2 linked regions of the Astyanax mexicanus genome follow. The protein of the gene in region 1 interacts with the protein of each later gene in a pairwise test. Links are inferred from orthologs where the notes say so. Each region holds a gene or a part of one and is shown on either strand. Other genes may lie near its edges. The genes, in order: nudt18 and dut.

Region 1 (10,659 bases):
ATTATCATGTTCATAAGTCCACTTACACTACAGCAACATTGTTTTCTGTGAAAAGGCTGAAATAGTCTGTTACAGTGAACTGGTTTATTATGAATCAGTTCAATATTTGATGCTAGGTATATGGCATCTACATTCATATAGCAGGTCTAAATAGTTAATGTGCAAGTAAATGCCGAATTACTGATCTGAGCACGGAATCACCAAGTCTGAGGTAAGAGTTTTGTAGCATTAGTTTAGGTGAAAGAAACTTTATCAAAGCCGAGAGGAGGGGGCCCGGAATCCGGCTGCGGGGAGAGCAGCGGCGCAGCATTGATAACATTTCTCAGCCACGTGCCATGAGTCTGATGTTAAGTGAAGTTTAAGGGTTAACTTTACCTTGCACTCAGTGCTATATCTTTATAAATAAGGCTGTATCTCTGAAAACATTTTGTCTTTTGAGTTTTAGAGCTGTAAAATTGACTGTGTGGGGAAGGCAGGTAGGCGTTCTCTACTGCAGTGCTGTTAGCCAATCAGAGGCGATATATTTGCATGTATAAATGTTCTGGAGCAAGAGCCCAAATCCTGTCTTCCTTCAGAGACCAGTAATTTGTGATCAGTAATTAGTGATCTAAAGCAGGGCTAAATAGAAACACCTGAGCCCTTTTCTTTCACAAAAAAACAGCTCACATGGCATTCATTCATACTAGAGACCACAACTAGACATTTAAAAATGAATAAAAAAACGATGGAATGACACCGGCTCCGGCACCAGCACTTTGTTGGTGGTAAAGAGGTATTTATGTCTTTAATACAGTGTAGTAATGCTGCATAGCGCATTTTGGCATGCTGAGGAATCGAAACAGTGCCTGGAGTCAATGCATTGACATGCGGTTCTAGTGTCAGTATGTGATTCACTGGTATAATTATAATATAACTTTCTTTCTGTGTCCTTTTCCTGTATACATTACATAAATATTTTTTCATAAAAACTGTGATTTCATTGTTTTTTTTTTTATACAATTCTAAAGCAGTGATGGATTTTTTTGAAATCAGCAAAGAAGTCTTCAACATTTCTAAAATGTCCTTATCCCATTATCCACTATAAACTCCGATAATATAGAACTCTGAAATCAATATGCAGTCTATTGCTCATTAGTTTGGTCAGATGAATGGTGTAAATGGCTTAGATAATAAGGTGTCGTTCTGCAACAGCTATTCCCAAAAACATCTTAAACTAACATCGGAGGCCATGTCCAACCATGCTTTACAGTCAGAAGATCTCAGTCCATCCCATCATCGAAGGCTGTATAAAGGTAGAAGGGAGTTATATTTTATTCTCTGCAGTATCTTTGTCCTCAGCCTTTGATTGATCACCTTATGCCATTTATATCTCTTATTCTCCAGTGGTGGTGGACTTTGATGATCTCCTGGAAACCCTTCTATATATTCCACCGTCACTAGTGTGTTCAAACAGAGCCCGTCTGTTTTGCCATGAACCCTCCCATTATGCTGCACGCTCAGGATCCCGCTGATGTCGACATGCAAGGCTTCACAAGGGACCATGCACTCCTGGAGCAATCTGCGGCCTGCCCATGTGACTGTGTGTTTTTTCACTGCTAGTGAAACAGGAAGGTGAGGGTGTGTCTCAGCATCACTGTCAGCAGAACCATTGCACAGCAGCAACCATACATTCTCTTCATTGTCAGGGTCACTGGGGGCAAAGACCAGAAGTATTCTCTGACAGACCACTTCACAGGGCAGGTCAGTGGGCAGACACACTGGGAACCACGGCTTCTGGTGGTACTTGAGGCCGGCCTCTATAAGGGTCAGGATGTCCCAGGCACGAAGAGGAAGATGTGCCTCTCGATCCCACCACTGAGCCTGCAGAGACTCAGAATCTGCTTCAGCCCTTGTCTTCAGACTGCCACCTGATGGAGGAGAGACAGTAGGACTGGTGTGAATAAAAGGATCTGACCACACCGGGACAAAATCAAAAATCAGCCAAGAATCATCCCAAACAGTTATTTAGCATGAATTTAATTCAGTAGTTGTGTATTATAGAGATATGAAACATAATGAAACCTTATACCCAGGGGTTCGAATTGGAAAGACCAATCAATCATTCGATCAACAGACTGTAGCTTCATTGTATATAGCAATGTATTTCATCAGCGCCAATCAATAACCTTAAATACCAAACAGCAACTTCACAGGAGAAGGACAAATCCTACCCAACATTCATGGTAAGTCAATGTACAAACACTTTCAGTCCGTAATTTTTTGTTGAGAAAGTGCAATTGCACTGAGCATACATAAGAGTACTTTTAAAATGTGCATTTCATAGCAGAAGAATGCAGTGGTTTTATCATCTTTCTTTGGTTTAACCATGCATGAATATGCAGATAGAGGCTGAGGTTGCTGTTCTGTTTCTCCACATTAGCAATCACTCTAGCAAAGTAGAAGCATTAGCAACGCTACTGTTGCTCAGGTAACCAACAAAAACTGTTGTGGCCAGAAAAAACTCTCGTAAAGACTTGCCAGACACCACACTGTTTTCGCCACTTGTCCCCTTCCACTTACCAAATACCACTGTGATTAATTTAAAAGAAAAGTAGTACTGAATAAAAAGTATTTTAAATGTTTAGACACTAGACGTACAGTATTTTAAGCCTAGAGGTTGTTAATTTCCACAATTCTACAGTTAAACTCACCATTTAAGGGCTCAAAGCATTATGTTTACATGCGGAAGAGTAATTCAAATTGCTTATTACTATTAGGTTAACAATAATTGAAAAGCTAATAAAGGATTAATAGCCAACTCATTATAAACAATGTCAGCTGGCTTTTGACATGAATGTTGGAAGAAAAAACCCTTTAAAGGTTTTTTGATTTCCCACCTCTGGAACATGTACTGATTTTTGACATAATAATGGGATATCTGCCATAATAGAATAATAATATTATAACTTATTAGAAATTTTGTTTTAACTACCATTACAATAATCAACATGTACAACCTACCAACTAATATCGTCATCATCATCATCATTTGCTCGCTGATCCACACCTATCATAGACCAAAGATATTCAGCTAGATCAGAGACCCTCTCTAGTACTGGTACCATGATTCACACCATCCTGACCTGTGATCTCAGCGAGGAAGGTGAAGCGGATCCACTGCGGGCCGCTTTCCTGCACCTGCAGCATGGTGACCGGCTGACAGTCCACTCCAGCCTCCTCTTTCACCTCCCTCTGCACAGCCTCCTCAATACTCTCCCCCGGTTCCATGCGGCCTGCGGGAAGGTACCACTGCCCATAGCAATCCTTCTTCGCCTCCTGCACCATCAGCACCTCCCCCTACAACCCATTAACACACACAGTTATATGTAGAGCCTTCTTTAGAGTGCATTATAGATTGTTTTAATCAAAGACTGGGCCAAATGTGTACCATCTGGATGCTTTTGAGGACTATGAGATCTGTAACTCTAATCTAATCTGAGGCCAGATTTATCAAACCTGTGTTCTTCTTGGACAGCAAATGGACAGAGTGACCTCAATGTGACCATTTGAGGATGAGATTGTGGGTGAGATGAAGTCTTCATTTGTAATTTAATTGTTGCTTTTAGGTGTAGGACCTTGTTAGTGCCATGTAGTTAAATTTGAGTGGGATAGTAGAGTATAGGAGAAGGAAATGGGCCCTATGTATAACACTAGTTTTTAGTTTTTAGGGATTTGCCATCTCCTACTACCTGCAACTAATTACACAGGAACACATTTGCCAGTGTTTTTCACAAATTATTTGGAGCTTGCACACTTTATAATTTTTTAAGCTAGCAGGGCGAAATTTTTTGTGTTTCTGGTCAATACACTTATTCTATAAAGCATGACACAAAGGAAAATATCAGGAGTGCCATATTGTGAACTAGAGTGTCTACTTAATTAACCAATGTTATATAATTAGCTAGTAATCCTAATGCTGAAACTAATGTGCATTACTTGGAAATGGTTTGTTTAGCATAGCCGGTGGAGTTCCAAAGGGTTCTACTGTATATTCTGCAGAATCTGTGCTATTTGCATCCCCAGTAAATTACATGTAGAAATGTGCACAAAAAATAACTGTAAAATACTTTTTACTATTAAGTCTTGTTACTTTCGGTCATTTAACTTATATAAAGAGTAACAGGACACATTTACACATTTGTTTAATAAATTGCATGATAATAAATGTTATCAATTTCAGGTTTGGGTCTAAGATAAAAATGGCTTTGTATATTTTAGAAAAAAACTGTGCATGCATATATAGTGATTATTTTATCGTGAGTTGTCATTAGATTTAATGTTGAAAAAACATAAGATAAGAAAATAAGTTAAAAGTTAAATAATATAGTTAAATAAAGTTAAATTTAGAAGAGTTGCTACTAGCAAATGGCATCAAGCCCAGGGCCTATTAAACTGATGTTAATCATGTTTTAACTGTAGCTAGTTAAGGACGTACAAGGCCGAAGAACTGAAGTGTGGGCTGCTGAACTAGTTTAGTACTGAACACAAAATAATGTATTTTCTAAGGTTATCTGGCATGCCACAGTTTAGAACCCCCTGTATTGGAAATATGGATGTAGGTTCTACACCACTCTTATTTTAGGGGATTTCATGTATTAAAACATACTTTAACATCTACATCCTAAAGAATGAGCCCACATTACCTTGGCATTGAAGATGACTGCAGCAACAATATAACAAACATTCGACCTAAGGGTGACAGGCTTCGGCTCCTCGGGGGTCCAGTCATATTCTGTGACCTCCAGTCCTTCACCGTTCAGGATCTTCTCCACGGTTTCTTCTTCAAGTCCCTCAGAGCCCATATTGCTGATTGGGACACCGCCAACTACAGCCAATTCAGTTTCACTTTGGTTCAGCGCCGTGCTGAGCTAATGCCTCAACCACCGGCCAGTTCTGCTCGCCGATAAAAAAAACAAGAGCATAAAATATATGTTATATCGCTTTTATTACGAATTAAAAGTTATATCAGCAAATTGTTATCAAAATGTTAACCATAAAAAGCGAAATGCGCATAGCTGTGTATACGTACCCACAACAAGCCTGCCTGTACGCAAAGCGCTGCTAGCTGCAATGCTATTGGCTGTAAGAGTAAGGGACCGGGGTTAAATGACCAACTTGTTTTAAACAACGCACATACTTTATGACTTATTTTCATTTTGGGATAAAAATACGTACTCAATATCGGAAAATAATACTGATAATAGAGATTAACTACTGTTGCTAAACAGAAACAACGCTTTAGCAAAGTTATAAGACGGATCTAATATCGAACCGCTAGATGCAATTTTACATAGTTTTGAGTACACCCCTACTTTCCCAAACAAACTGGGGCGAAGAAACCTAGTCATACTAGCTTTTCGAGATCTTACCGCAGAAACGCAAACACAACTGTAGCGTTAACTATAACGCTTGTGGACATGGGTTAAAATGCATTTATCTGTACTTATACTTAACGAGCCCAGGAGTTTTGTACCAAAACTGCGTTAGAGAAGTAAAAAAAAATGTTAGGGACACCGATGGGTGCATGTCAAATTGGCGTGTAGTTCCCTAGATAGTTAACAAGCTGAAGTAAAAGTGTAACTGATAATACCTTAAAGGATTTGACAGACACTCTTATTTAGAGAAACTTACATTTACACTGTATGGGAGTGTAGTTGGATCCTTATTTGCAGCTTCTGATACATTTAGAGCCTTATTTGATGCATTTACATTGATAGGTAAATGTGAAGTTATTGGTGTAGTGTCCTTGTGGACACATGGTAGACCACCTAAATGATGTTCCAGTTATTGTTGGCTACAGTAGTGGAATTCAACTGCTCAACTACCTGAACATATTTAAACCAGTGATATTTTTGCCTGGTCCAGCTAAATATCTGTTTGACGAAGAACCAGCAAATATTCAACCAATGATCATCTGAAGTCAGTCACCCTCAAAAGTTAGCCTAAGCTGTATTTTCTACATTAATGTCCAATTCCATGCAATCACATAATTATCAGCCAGTCAGGTATTTGATTGCCCATGAAAATCCATGAACTGTTAAGTATAAATATTAGTAACAGTCTAATGTTGCATTCAGGTTCACTTAGGAAGCTTGGTTCTTACATCTTTTGAGCTCATAAATTTACGACATGATTTCTTTACAAGTAGTTTAGGTAACACAAACATCCTATATATTGTTTTTTTTTCTTTTATGTATCTGTGTTTTTCTTTTACCAACAAAAAACAAGTATGTTCAGTTAATGTAATCAAAACAAACTTATAAACAGCAAAGTATCCAGTAGAAGTATCAGTAGCATATTGCAGTTGCTGTTATTGAAACAGCCCTAACTCTTAAAGGTACTGAGAAAAAAATCCCTGTTTTTCACTGGAAAATTAGAAAATTTTGGTGGTATTCATGTACAATAATCTTTATGACTGTGTATTAGCAAAAACCTAGAGATACAATAGGTGTCATTGCAGTTATGATTTAATATATTGCAATACAGTAAGCATCGTGATATTTACAAACAGCTCTGTAAATAAAAAAGAGGCCACTTAAAAATGATACATTTCTTTGATTTTACCAAATTGTAAACCTCTGGAATATAATCAAGAGGAAGGTGAATGATCAAAAGCCATCAAACTGCTTGAATATTTGCACCAGGAGTGGAATAAAGTCATCCAAAGGCAGTGTATAAGACTGGTGGAAAAAACAAGGGTTATTCTACCAAATATTGATTTCTGAACTCTTAAAGCTTGAATATGAGTATAAGTTTATTTTCTTTGCATTATTTGAGGTCAAAAAGCTCTGCATCTTTTTTGTTATTTCAGCCATTTCTTATGTTTTGCAAATAAATGCTCTAAATTACAATATTTTTATTTGGAATTTGGGGGAAATGTTGTGCATAGTTTTGTAGAATCAAACAACAATGTTAATTTTACTCAGATATATACCTATAAATAGCGGATTTAGAAACTGAAGTGGTCTCTTTTTTTTTCATAACTGTATTTTAAAACCACACATTCACTCAGTACTGAGAGTAGGGATTAGGGCGTAGGGAGCCACTTTGTGTAGAGGGCATTGTTAAATGAGATGTTCCCATTGTCGACCTCTGTCGTCGGTCTGGGCTTCATTGCAAATTCACGTCCGACCCTCATGAGTCTACAAGCTTTCTGTCGGATAAGCCAGCAGTCCCATTTCTGAGAGGATTACTTTGAAAACAGTCGCCTGTGTGGAGGAACATGCTTATCTCAGCAAGCTTTAACTGAAAGAGGCAGAGCGGAGATGAAAATGAGCAGGTAGCTGAAGTTCTTTACGGCTGTTTTAATTTTTTACCTCCTGATAGGAGCGTTATGTGGAGTCCAGCGGGCTCTTTGCCATTGCTGGGAAGGCGACGCCTGGATAAGGAAAAGCTACCAGAAACTGACTGTTAAAAATCCTCAATTCACCGAATTATTTTGGAGAAATAATGGCTGTTTTACAGTCTTCTCTTCGCATTCAGGCAGCGTGTGTCCTGTTTATGCTCTTCCAGCTTTGGGACTGCAGCGAAGGTAAGTAAACAGTAAACACTGGGGAGCTCCATGTCGGCTTTTTACAAGTTTCCGGTCCACCTTAAATAGTGCAGCAGTTTTACACAGCCTCGCGTCAAGGCGCCAGACCGTTACTATAGCGCTTTTTAAGGTGGAACGGAACATTCGAAGTTGAACCTTCTCAACACTGTTACAGTTTGCAGAAATCAGTGTTTTTGTTATTATGACGAGGTTTTATTTCTGTTCCATCTTTCTGAAACATTTTTTAGTAAAAACTTAAGAATATTAAGCTGTTATTTTAATTTGTATTAAACTAAAAGTTTGGGACACTTTATATATCTAGGATAGTTAACTGTTAACTAGCTACGTTAACAGTAACATTTTGAAGACTGGAAATACCTTTACCAAGACAAAAAAGAGAGAGAGAACAAATTGGGAAAATTGCTTTTTAGGTTTGTTTGTACATTTTTATATATTTAAATATATTTGACCATTTAGTCTTTTGTATGGTAGAGATGTTTTTACTGTAAGCAGGATCACGTCTAGTCTACACACAGACTTGTGCTATCTCTGACTGTAGGAATAGCAACTATCTAACCTACACGTTTAAGAAGCTTACAGGTGCTCTGTAAAAGCTTATGTGTGTTAATGCTCAATGTCTGCATAGTGAGACTACACATAGACTAAGGACACACATATCCTGTATTTCATTTTTTTGTAAAGTATTGATAATTTGTTGTAATATAAGAGAGACCAGGGGTGGTCATTAATTTTTCCAAGGGGCCATAAAATACACTGAAACTGTTTTGGAGGGCCAGACCAACAGATTCAACCCAATGTGTCTCAGTGTTATTTTTTATTTTTACAACAAGACTAACAGGCCACTTAAAATGACAAGTTTCTTTGATTTTATCACATTAAAAACCTCTGGAATATAACCAAGAGGAAAATGGGTGATCACAAGCCATCAAACCAAGCTGAACTGCTTGAACTTTTGCACCAGAGGTGGCATAAAGTTATCCAAAAGCAGTGTGTAAGAGGTTGAGGAGAACATGCCAAGGTGCTTGAAAACTGTCATTAAAAACCAGGGTTATTCCACCAAATATTGATTTCTGAACTCTCAAAACTTTATGAATATAATCTTATTTTCTTTGCATTATTGGAGGTCTTATTTCAGCCATTTCTCCTTTTCTGACAATGACAATATTTTTACTTGAAATTTGGGAGAAATGTTGTCCGTAGTTTATAGAATAAAACAACAATGTTCATTTTACTCAAACATATACCTATAAATAGCAAAATCAGAGAAACTGATTCAGAAACTGTGCTCTCTTATTTTTTTTCCAGAGCTGTATGTCGAAAAGAATACTGACGGTGTTCTAATTCGTGAACTTGCTCTACTTAAATGCTTTGCAAATAAAATGGGAAATTCTCCATGTCATATGCCAAGCAACATCAGCATTGTGAAGCAGTGGATCTGCATTTTGTGGTGATCTGCTCTGATGGAGCTCCTTCCATTGCTATTTGTATAAATGAAGTGGCAAAACTGATCATCCAACAACATCACTGATCCTCTCAGAGGTTCAGGATCTATTGTAAAGCCTTCCTAAAAGAATACTGGCTGTTATTGCAGCAAACTGGGACAAACTCACTATTAAACTCCTTAATTTAAGAAGAAATTTAAGAAATGGTGGATGAACAGGGGTCTACAACCTTATCACCAGTGTTTTTCAGAGAATAGGGAAGTGGAACTTCTTAGTCTATCCTGCGTCTGTCAGCAAGTTTATTAGGCTTTGTTGTTCTCTTTGTGGATCCTTTTGGTATAAAGATAAAAGCCTGAAGCTCTAAGTTAAAGTGTGCAAACAACAAACAATAAAGCGGCAGAAAACAACAGAATGCCATTAAATCCAAAAAAATGTATATTTGTATTTGTTTAGTTATATTGCCTCCGTCCCTTAGTATTGTTAAGTAAAGATTACGCATTCATACATGCTTAATGTTTCTCATGATTAATCTGAAAATCATGAGAAATCATATCATGTGACCAAGTTTACAGAGATTGGTGATGAATTAACAGTAATATTTAACAATATTTAACAGTGTCACTACTACCGGTAGCAGAGACTGTAGCATCCTCTCACTTGCTGTGCACATCCTGATTGTAACTGCAGGATTAGTTCACAGAAAGTGAAAGTTGGACATCACTTACTTAAGTCTCGTCTCTGAGGGAAACCGTGTGTAACAAGACAGAAATTGAACATTCTTAATACAATGTTTGCAAAGTGGGGGTTATTGTTTTCCTGTACTAATGCCAGCACATAGTCTGGGATTAGAGTGAGAAAGAGGCTGATGGCTGGCTGCTGGTGCATTTCCATAGCCAGTAAATCACACTGTGTGGTAATGAAAGCAGGGGACTTTGGGACACTTTACTGCTTACATTATCCATTTTCTCTCAGCATGACAGGACACAACCATTCAATTACTCACATTTAGCCTTAAAATTGTCCCAAGCAGTGATCCTTTACACAAAATGAGCATACAGCACTCTTAACACTATATATAAATGCGTGGAGAAACTGAGTCATGTTAAAGCGTTCAGAGCCATTTAAAAAAAGAACATGTTCAGGCTTTGCTGTCTGTTGTTCATCACTGGATATTGCCTCTATTGTTCCAGACCTGTAGGACACCTTAAAACTATATACCAGGGCTGTGTATTGGAGTCTTAGAAGCAGTCTATTTTGTATTTGTAAGTTGCTGTTGTTTACAGGTTTACAGATTTTCTATGCAGTTACATTTATACTAAATAAACAATAAGTAACATTTATTTTGTTGCAATTGTTTGTTCCTGAAATATTAATAAATTAATAAATATTTATAAAAAAAGTACCCTTAAATGAACACACAGCAAAATTGACAGTGTTAAATGAACTCTTCGAAAGTTAATTCAACACCATATGGAGCCATATATTAACTTTCTTTTTTTTAAGTTAATTTTAATTTATTTTTGTATATTTTCTGAACTTCACCCAAAAATACAGTATATACCATAACATTACAGTATATATAAAGCATAAAATGTGAGCTACACCATAGAATAAATTCCTTTTTTA
Region 2 (10,485 bases), on another chromosome or scaffold:
GACATTCTGGTGAGGTTTATCTCACACCATTTTGAGATCAGCTGGTTGCAAAGTTGAAAATCAGATTAATGCCCGACTAGTGCTGAACAACAAATATTTAATCATTCTGTATTAAATTATTATTATAACAAGCATATGGAGGATAAACTGTCCCTAAACACTGACCCAAGTTCACATATCATTCGTGTGTTAAAAAATAAATAATTGTTAATTTTATGTGCAGAAAAATACTGTAACGAGGTCTGAAAGATCATGCTTTTACTATAGATCCTCATCATCCCATCCCTACAGGATGAACAGTGGATTAGTATTATTTTGTGCTTAGCTTGAATGCAGTGACCTGACATGCAGTGCCCTGTAAGGTGATTAATGGTTTATTAGAATTCTTTTGATGTAGATCATGTAGACTTATCAGAAAATTACAAACAATTTACATGAGTTAAGGCCATATGTTCTTTTCCAGGAGAGCCTAAACTACATATAACTTAATGTATATGAATTTTTAAAAAATTAATAGCTAAAATGTTATTCTGTAATGATAAACATCCCAGCCTTGCTTTAAAACGAGACGTACATTACCAGAACTTATGTATTCAAGGTGCAAAAACATTAATAAAAAAGGCATCAACTCACCGACTCTGCCGTAGCAGCCATGTGGTACAGCAATCTGAATATCTGTCTTTACAATAGCTTTATCCATAGGTCCAATGGAGTAATCATACGCACTGAAACACAAATAATCAGTGTGAAATTCATGAAAAGTCTGATAGTTCTGCATACAGTTTAAATGATACAGATTAATCAGATAAACCTGTTTCTGTAGCTCTGCCAGAGTGTCTGACTAATCCAAAACATCACATCAGTGTAGTGTAGTGTAGTTAAGTGTTAGCTTGTTCCTTTAGAAGACAAATCAGCCCACATTAGTGCACAATTATAATGGAAAGTGAACTAAAATAAGGTAAAATCATGTCAAGTAATGAAGTAGAAATACTGTTACTTTAAATTAGAAAAATGTTGGTTTTCTATACTTTACAGGATTATTTTTTACAGTAAACTTGTAACTTCTACTTCTTACATTTTCACACAATTATCTAAAACTTTCTTCTCCTTTTAAATTTTAAAATATTTTAAAAATAGCCTCGTTACTCCAATTTCATGTCAGCTCGTTTTCATTTCAGCTTCTCCTCATGATTGTCCTTAACGGCACGTTTTCCACCTTACGTTACTTTTATACTTTAAGTAGTTATGAAAGCAGTACTTTAACTCTTACTTTTACTGGAGTTAAAAGCTTGAGTTGACGCTTGTTTAACTTCTACAGAAGTAAGTTAACGTTATTTTAAACACCAGTAACTTTATCTATACTTCTACCTACAGAACAATGAATAGGATTGGGTAAAATAGGGCCCAAAAATTCCCGCCAAATACTGGGCTTCATTTTACAACAATAAAAGCAACAGCGCCAAACAGCGCTGTTATGATTTTTATTATTAACGTTTTTTAACCCAAAATTATCTCTAAAAACACTTTTAATCTTAATTTTAGCGTTTGTACAAAACCATGTGTCGCTATGACAACACTATCAGACTGTTAGCTAGAGTAGCAGCGTTTCCGCTCCAGTATTTCGGAGAGTAGATAAACAAACAGTTAATAAAACCCTATTAAACCCGTGTTTTCTTCTCTCTCTGTCGGTGTGTGTTTAGTTACCTGTACAGGTCGTAGCCCGCCGCTTTGCTGGAGCCGCGGGTGGGGGTTGTGGCGTTTTCGGTCAGCTTGGCGAATCTCAGCACCCCCTCCTCGATCCGGCTCTTCTTCGCCGGAGAGACGGCGGCGGCGGAGGCCTCGGTTCCATCAGAGCAGGGCATCTTCTCTGTTACAGCGGAGCGAGAGAGCGCGTGTTAAAATAAAATAATAATATTAATCTAAACTACAGCATTAAAACCAGCGACACTTAATAAATAAACCGCGCAGCGCGAGGAGCTTCTTCTGTTGCTGCTTTTAGTTTTTCCGGCGGTTTGTAATTCCCGCTAGACCCTTGAACGTGTTTAAGACCCCGCTCGCGCTCAGGTTCAGCCAATCAAGCTCGAGCATTCGTCTATTACGCAACACCAGAGCGGGTTTATGAAGAGACTGCCCACTTTCTGTATGGAAAAAAAATGACCGCGAGCCGCTAGAGGGAGTCCGCAAGAGAGTGCAAAATTAATGGAGGCAAATGGAGTAACACGGCTAAAAACACACAAAAATATGCATGAAAAAACTTAATGTATTTTGCTAAAAAATAAGCAAAGAAAATGTGCATACACATACATACATACATACATACATACATATAAAAAAATAATAAAATAATTAAAAAATAGAATATCAAAATATTCAACAAGTTAAACTTTCATAGATTTCATATATTATAGATTTAGGGCCCACAATTTAAAAGATTTCAAATATCAAATATTTGTTTCTTTATTTTTAAATAATTTGGGCTTCCAGCTCATAAAACCCCTAAAAAACATGAATTCAAAAAAATTGAATATAGTAAAGAAATCAGCCCAAATTTTGCAGGGCATGAATGTTTTAAAATGAGTGTGACACACTAATCACCTACTAAACTCAAAGCACCTGCACAGGTTTCCCCAGGTGTTATTAAATTGCTTCAGTTTGGTTCAATTGTCTGCAAACTGCAGACATAACAACTGGCCGGAAGACCATCATTAATACCCTTCACAGGATGGGTAAGCCACAAAAGTTCATGGCAAAGGAGGCTGGCTGTTTACAGAGTGCTGTGTCCAAGCATATCAAAGGACAACATGTGGCAAGAGAAGATGCACCAGCTAAAGAGATGACCAAGGCTTCAGCAGATTATCAGAAAGAGAAGATTCAAGAATCTGACAAAGATCCAGAAAGAGTGAAATGAGGCAGGAGTCCCAGCTTTAAAAAACACCACATTCAGACGCATTCGGGAGATGGACTACAGCTGTCAGGTTCCTCGGGTCAAGCCACTTCTAAACGTGAGACAACATAAGCAGCATCTCAACTGGGCAAAGGGGAAGAAGGGCTGGACTGTTGACCAGTGGTCCAAGGTCCTCTTTTTTGATGAAAGTAAAGCGTGCCTTAAATTTAGGAATCAAAGGCCAACAGTTTGGTGGAAGACAGGTGAGAAAACTGAAGTTAGTTTGAGCTGATTTCTCCACAGTATTATTATTTTTTTAATTCCTGTTTTTATGAGGTTCATGAGCAGGAAGCCCATATCATGTTAAAAATAAACAAAAAATGTGTACATATATTATATTATTTTATAGTATATTATATAAATTATTAAACATTAATAAACTCTGTTGCACTTAAACTCATTCATTTTGGTGCGGAGCGCACTCTATTTGTGACACAAACCTGGAAGAGATTCTGAAAAGTGGGCACTCTTCTCTCTTTTTCTGTGGTATCACCCATAATGCACAGCAGCAGGCTAATTTATGGAGATAAAATCTAAGATTAAACCACAGAACTTTACGCATTTTATACTTTAGCTCATAATCTGAGCGACTGTTCACACTGTATAACTGTGTCGCATCTTTTCGTAACAAAAAAAAAAACTGTATCTACATTTACCTGCACGTGTACTGTCGATTTTTTATCACGTTTAACGTTATATGTTTTAAAGTGTTTATATTAATTCATTGGGTTGATTATGAGCTAAGATTATATTTATATAATTTGTTTGAGTGGTAGAAAAATATGTCGGTTCAAATTCAGATCTGATGCTTTTATTCTACGTTAGGAACATTTATCAGTAAACATAGCTAGCTACACTACTGCAGCAGGGTTTATCAGGGTAGCACAAATCGACACAACACCGGTTTTGTGGTTCTCTAACAGTCTAGCTCATGTAATATAAAAATATAATGATATTTGCAAAAGGAACAACAACAACATGATTAAATTCAGTTACCTGTCCCTGTGTGAGAGGAGGAGTGTGAAGAACATGAGCTCCATAAATAATGATAATGTCTCCGTGTTGAGGCAGCAGCTCTCATTGAAAACAGGGGAATCATACTGTCTCCAGGGTTTACTGTCCCACTGCTGTCCTTGCTGTCCTTGCTGTCTCCTGCCTCCTGATCCCAGATCACTCCATCAGAGCTCTGGTCACACTGACTGTCAGACAGACAGACAGGTGTCTGTGTGTTTCTCTCTCGCTGTGTCTGTAGGTTATATTCCCCAGGTCTGATCCAGCGGCAGACGTTTCCAGACTGAGTTAAAGTCTCAGTTACAGTTTACTAATCCTCCGATCTCTCCTGCAGACAGCACGCGTTTCTGAATATTTATGTTTATCCGCTCCGCTTCTTCTGCTCCAGTCAAATGGACAAAAACTTAACTCTACTGCCCCCTGTCTGCATTTATCCCAGTTGCTGCTGTCTGCAACCAAGGCTACGTCCAGAAACTTTTGCTACTCCTCCTCTCCTACTCTTCCTTTCCTACTCCTCCTCTCCTACCCCGGAAGAAGGTGGAGGAATCGAGGAGAGGAGAGCAGGAGGAGGAATGGAGGGAAGCTGATCCCTTTTAGATAGGATGTTGACTACCGTTAAAGTGAACCAATCACAACGCACACTTTCAGCACGTTTCAGAACATTACTATCTCACACAGCTAAAAATTCAAATATTCCAATAAAATCCTCTTTACTCCCAGCCGCATCTCTGACCAGTGACTCTGGCAGCCCTGTCTGACCTCAGCCTTATGAGGGTTTCAGTTTCCACATCAGTCCCTAAGTTAAAATAAATAAGTAAATAAATGAATTAATTAAAAAAAAAAAAAAAAAAAAAAAATATATATATATATATATATATATATATATATATGTTTTTGTATGTATAACATGATACACATAGGGTCATAAATATAGTTTTACTGAGCATACAGTTTATCTAAACTATAAATTATATTACTGCTTTACTGGCTGTTTAATTAGATAAGGAACCTAGTTAATTAATATGTTTATGACGTATATTTGGGCGTTGCCTTCTCCATTTTCGCGTGCTCTGTGGGCGTGGATTCAGTGATGTCATTGGAAAATCCTTAAAAGTCTTAGGATACACTGATGTACCCTCCGTTGGAAGCCTACTACAGGTTGATTTTAAGCGGCTTCTTTCATCTCCTACGGTATTCGGACAGGCGGCAAGATGGCGTCACGAAATCAGTTTCCGGGTCACGGAGGAGAGGAGGAGGATCGGTAGGAAAAAGGAGACACTTTTGGGGTTTCTGGACGCAGCCCAATAGTATATAGCTGCAGCCTCGGAGACTGCAGTTTCAGGACCGCTGTTCTAGGACCATTTGTTTTCACGACACTGTCACCTAGCAAAATTAATGATTTACTACTCCTTCATATAATATCATCACTTTTCACCCAAATATTACCACTTCAGCTAACTACAGATTTAAAGGCTTATTTCACCCAAATATTACTTTGTCTTAGAACTCCCAACCACATATCAGAGACACAAAGAAGACATAGGGCTATAATCGAAATCTTTTTGGAACTTCAAACTACTCTAGTGTCTATTAGAGCTGGGTGATATTGTAAAAAAAACCCTTAATATTCTACAAATATATAAGGAATTCTCAATTCTGATTACGATTTACAATTTTCAGTTCTTATACATATTTTTTTATTTGTAAACAGACAGCACCATTTGAAATGAGGTAAAACTATTGTTCCGTTTAAATTTAATTTTATTTCTTTATTTTTATTTTTTAAGAATAGTAAGCAGCCCCCTTCATGCAGCTTTATATTAAAGATGGTACAAACATAACCTACTTGTATTTCAGTATTATAGGTAAGGAAATGTGTAAAAAGGTTTAAATCCCAATGATTTCTTTACAGGTTTCTGACAGAATCCAGCCAAATTCAACTATTAAAATACAAACACGCACAAAATGTTATTAATTGTAAAAAAAACAAAACAAAAAAAAAACGTCTTATTCAAAACATCTAAATAATTGAATACATTAAATTTAGGGTCCTAGAACTGCGGTCCCGAAAATAGCAGTCTCCGAGGCTGCAGCTATACCCTTCTCGTCTGCAAAGAACTACTGTTTCCTTTATTAAAAAACAAGCAAAAAATAGCTTTGGGGGGTCAACACATTTAAATAAATCTCTTACATATAATGTTAAAGACTACAACACAATGCAGTATCTATGCCTGATACAATTCAAAGCCCCCCTAAAGTGGATCATACCATTCCATCTTAATAATAATCATTCCTCTCCTTTACCTGCTGCTGCCTCTTTAATGCTCAGGTGGCTAATTGAGTCTAAGTTAAGGTGGTACACACGCTGCTCAAGCTACAGCATTACGTGTAAGTAGCTTCTATCTACTTTTCTTTCTTAAATAAGCACTTTAAACACACTTTTCCCTACATAAATAACTCACATGAATGAGCTATCTCACCTTAAATGCTGCTAATTTACCATCCCACCTTAAATGCTGCTGTCGCGGCACTCAGGCTTCAGGCTGTAGATGGTATTTTTGGCGTTTTTAAGGTGGAACAGAAGATTTAAATGGGAATCCACGTTCTGTTTTATTTGAACGTGTAAAACTCTTAAAATACTTTATCATCTACTACAGTCTAAAGAGGAAACTGTGTTTTAACGTAGAGAAAATGTGTTTTAATGCAGGGAAACTGTTAAGGTAGAATTGAAATGTGTTTTAAGGTGGAAGGTAAATGTGAATAAGAAACCAAAAGCTGGTGTATTACACGTTTTTAAGGTAAGACTTATTTTCTTTATTTTCTTTTTATTCAGCTACTTTAAAAAAGTAACAATAGCTAAGCTTTTTTAAAAGGCTTTAGCCGAGCTGTATAAATGCATTCCTACATATCTCCCCTTAACATTTAATATTGTAGTTCCAGTGTCAAAATATGTGGATGAGATGAGGGACAAACGCCTTTTCTACAGGGATTTTCAGTTACATTTTTATTTTCTATTTGTTTAGAATTAAATAATAAATTATTCCTGTGGGAGAGATTCAGTAAAATATAAATTAAAATGTAATGGTAAGAAAGCTTATAAAAGAGAGCAGCCAGTAGCATTGTGTCTTTGTGGTTTTGCAGGATTAACTGTGGATTTTGCTGTATAATATATTATTTATGACAATAAAGGTTATTGTGTGGTATATAAGTGCTACATTAGCTGATGTACAGGGTTTATATTTTATGTGCTTTAGACATACTTGATCCCCCGAAGAAATACTTGAAATTAAAAACCTCTGGAATATAATCAATATAAACTGCTTGAAATTGTGCACCAGGCATAAAGTTATCCAAAAGCAGTGTGTAAGACTGGTGGAGGAGAACATGCCAAGATGCATGAAAACTGTTACTAAAAACCAGGGTTATTCCACCAAATAATGATATATGTACATCTAAAAAAATAAATATATAATTAAAAAGTTACTTTATTTCAGTATTTCAGTTCAAATATATTATATAGATGTATTAAACACAGAGTGATCTGTTTTAAGCATTTATTTATTTTATTGATTATTATTAATTATAATATTAATAAAAACCCAAAAATAAGTGTTTTAGAAAATCAGAATATTATATAAGACCAATTGGTACTTTTTTCAGTGCAGGCAGTGTGCCAAGTCCTGCTGGAAAATGAAATCCGCAACTATATAAAAGTTGTCAGTAGCAGAGGGAAGCATGACGTGCTGTAAGATTTTGTGGGAAAACAAAACTGCACTGACTTTAGACTTGATAATAAAACACAGTGGATCAACACCAGCAGATGACAGACATGTCTCTCCAAACCATCACTGATCATCAGTAAATGTTACATTTCATTTGTAAATCAAGGGATCAGAGTCTGGAGGAAGAGTGGAGAGACACACAGTCCAAACTGCTTGAGGTTTAGAGTGAAGTTTCCACCAATCAGTGATGGTTTGTAAACAGCGCCAGAGGTCCGTGTTCATCTGCCACAGTAAGTAAGTTAACATATTGGGCGTTTTAATATCTCATATTTCACTCACACACACACACACACACACACACACACACACACACACACACACACATACTCTCTAAAAGAAGTGTATTTCAGACAGCTGAGATCACTGTGTTTACGTTCTGATGTTATATAAACATGTGAGGTATAGTATAGTTAGCTCTGCTGTTCTGATATGGTAAAAAGCTTTACCAGTATTATTTTTGAGTTGGTAATTTTGGTCAAAATGAGTGAACCCTGTAGAGTTTATTGTGTTTCTGAGTGTATGTATTTCTCAGATTGAGCTCTTTGGTGTGGTGTGTGTTTCATGTTCATGTGTATTCTATTGGCTATTTTAAGCAGCAGTTTTACATGTTGCTTTAAGGCTGATATCTTGTGGACTGCTGGCTATTCAACTGTAATGTGTAAATAAAAGGTATTACATGATACCTTTTTGAATCCTGCATCTCAAAATTAACCCTAGATATAAAAAAAAAAACTAATACTAAAACTAATGAAAACATAAAAAATGCATAAAAAATAAATAGTAATAAAAATTAGCAAACCTGCTATAAAAAAAACTAAAAATAACTGGGAAGGGGAGAAAGTCAAAACGAAATAAAATATAAACTATAATTAAAAATTCTAAACTATTATAACCTTGGTGTGTCAGTGCACATAAGACGTTTCTTCAAGACATTTCTTTAGAAGTCAAAGTGAAAGGGCATTTTCACACAAGCACTATTTGGTCTGGTTGAAACGGTTCGGTTCGATTGAGCAGGTGTGAAAACAGTAATCACACTCTGGTTTGGATCAAAACAACCAGAGAGAGATCTACTAGAGGAGTTGCTCTATCTCCGGTCCTAAACAAACTCTGGAGCTTGTGTTCACTTGTGCTGAGAACGTGATCTTGTTAGGGCTCAGCCAGTTCCCGCAGCGGCCACCAGAGGCCGCCATAAACGCACCAAGGTGGTAAGAAGGGAACCGGCTGAGAGTTCATTAGAACAGGGATCATTAAGGCCACCTGAAGCCAATAACGTGTCATCAGCCTCAGCTGTGGTACCGTCTTTAAAAAGGCGAGCTTCCAGCAGACTGATGTCGCAGACTTCATGCCCTGTGACCGGTGAACGGTAGCTCCACGGAGCAGAGCTGAAAAGAAAAAATAAAAGAAAGCTTGCAAGGTTGAAAAGAAAAGAAATCAAAGAGAGCTTGCAGAGCTGAGAGAGAGAGAAAAAAAGGAAGCTTGCAAAGCTGAAAAGAAAAAAAATATATAAAGAATAAATAAAAAATAAAGGAAAGCCTGTGAGGCTGTAAAGAAAGAAAGAAAAAATAAAAGAAAGCCTGCAAGGCTGAAAAGAAAAGAAATAAAAGAAAGCTTGCAAAGCTGAAAAGAAAGAATAAATAAATATATAAAAGAAGAAAGCCTGCAAGGCTGAAAAGAAATAAAAGAAAGCTTGCAAAGCTGAAAAGAAGCAATAAATAAATTAATTAATAAGAGGAAGCTTGCAAGGCTGAAAAAGGAAAGAAAGAAAAGGAAGAAAAGAAAACAAAATAAGAGAACAGAAAATAAAAGAAAGCTTGCCAGGCAAGAAAGAAAAGATAAGGGAACGCCTGCAAGGCTGAGGAGAAAAGAAAATATTTTTATTTTCTTGATTTCTGTTTCTATTTCTGTCTTTCTTTTATTTCAAACGGAGGCATTATTTAGTTAGCTTTGTTGCGCCGAAATTATTTTCCCCTTTTTCTTTTATGCACACACAATTATAGTAAAACCCCTTTTCGTTATATCGCTGCACTTGGCTCCTCCCACACCCCTACCATGACAGATCCGGTCTCAATCCAACTCAGCTATCAAATATACTCTTATTTATATTTATTTGAGCTTAACTGCTGGTAAGGCGCAGATTAATATGATGCATTAGCTAGATCATTCTAATTACCACAACTTTGAACAAACGCTGTCTCTGCTGCTCCGTGCTGTTTTCACGCCAAATCTATGATGCGTTCACTGCTTACCGCACTGCACTCCCATAAAAAAAAAAAAACACTGTGTTCTGTGTTAAAGCAGCTTTGAACTGCACAGATCTATGCGCTGTAACACAGAATCTTCTCACTATATTTACTTTTTTGCTCCCACGCCACACTGCTCGCCAGACAGAGGAGACAATGTGCTTGCGTGGTTTATTGGTGCGCATTTTAATGTGTTTAGGTTTATGCCTGTGTGAAACCAAACCAAACAGAGGAAGAAACGTTCCAAATAAACAAACTCATCAACTGATCCAGATCATAAAAACTTTCACGACTACAGGTATGAAAACGCCCTTAGTTACTTAAAAGAACAAACTGACGGGCATGACTGACAGATCTTTAAGGTTTTTTATTGTGTACATTTCAGTGAACAAAATAATAAACATTGAAAAGTTCAAAAAGCCCCATAGAGATACATTTTATTAAGTTTCATTAATAACATTAAGACCAACCCCAAAGATACATTTTTTATACAAAAGCCTACAATGCA

The links.
Region 2: the proteins of nudt18 (region 1) and dut interact in binary tests that used the Homo sapiens proteins (3 or more experiments, as listed by UniProt). The two-hybrid records come from large-scale screens. The link is inferred for Astyanax mexicanus from reciprocal best matches to the Homo sapiens genes NUDT18 and DUT.

Annotation. Positions count from the first base shown.
Region 1 is NC_064419.1:30,329,234-30,339,892, forward strand, and holds nudt18 (8-oxo-dGDP phosphatase NUDT18), read right to left. Parts: upstream 5,287-10,659; 5' UTR 5,069-5,286; intron 4,933-5,068; 5' UTR 4,842-4,932; coding exon 4,683-4,841; intron 3,337-4,682; coding exon 3,123-3,336; intron 1,908-3,122; coding exon 1,273-1,907; 3' UTR 652-1,272; downstream 1-651. Other genes in the region: adam9 (disintegrin and metalloproteinase domain-containing protein 9), read left to right, coding at 7,489-7,570. UniProt on the Homo sapiens protein: Mediates the hydrolysis of oxidized nucleoside diphosphate derivatives. Hydrolyzes 8-oxo-7,8-dihydroguanine (8-oxo-Gua)-containing deoxyribo- and ribonucleoside diphosphates to the monophosphates. Hydrolyzes 8-oxo-dGDP and 8-oxo-GDP with the same efficiencies.
Region 2 is NC_064416.1:43,817,519-43,828,003, reverse strand, and holds the start of dut (deoxyuridine 5'-triphosphate nucleotidohydrolase, mitochondrial), read right to left. Parts: upstream 4,338-10,485; 5' UTR 4,044-4,337; coding exon 3,941-4,043; intron 1,868-3,940; coding exon 1,705-1,867; intron 726-1,704; coding exon 634-725; intron 1-633. UniProt on the Homo sapiens protein: Catalyzes the cleavage of 2'-deoxyuridine 5'-triphosphate (dUTP) into 2'-deoxyuridine 5'-monophosphate (dUMP) and inorganic pyrophosphate and through its action efficiently prevents uracil misincorporation into DNA and at the same time provides dUMP, the substrate for de novo thymidylate biosynthesis.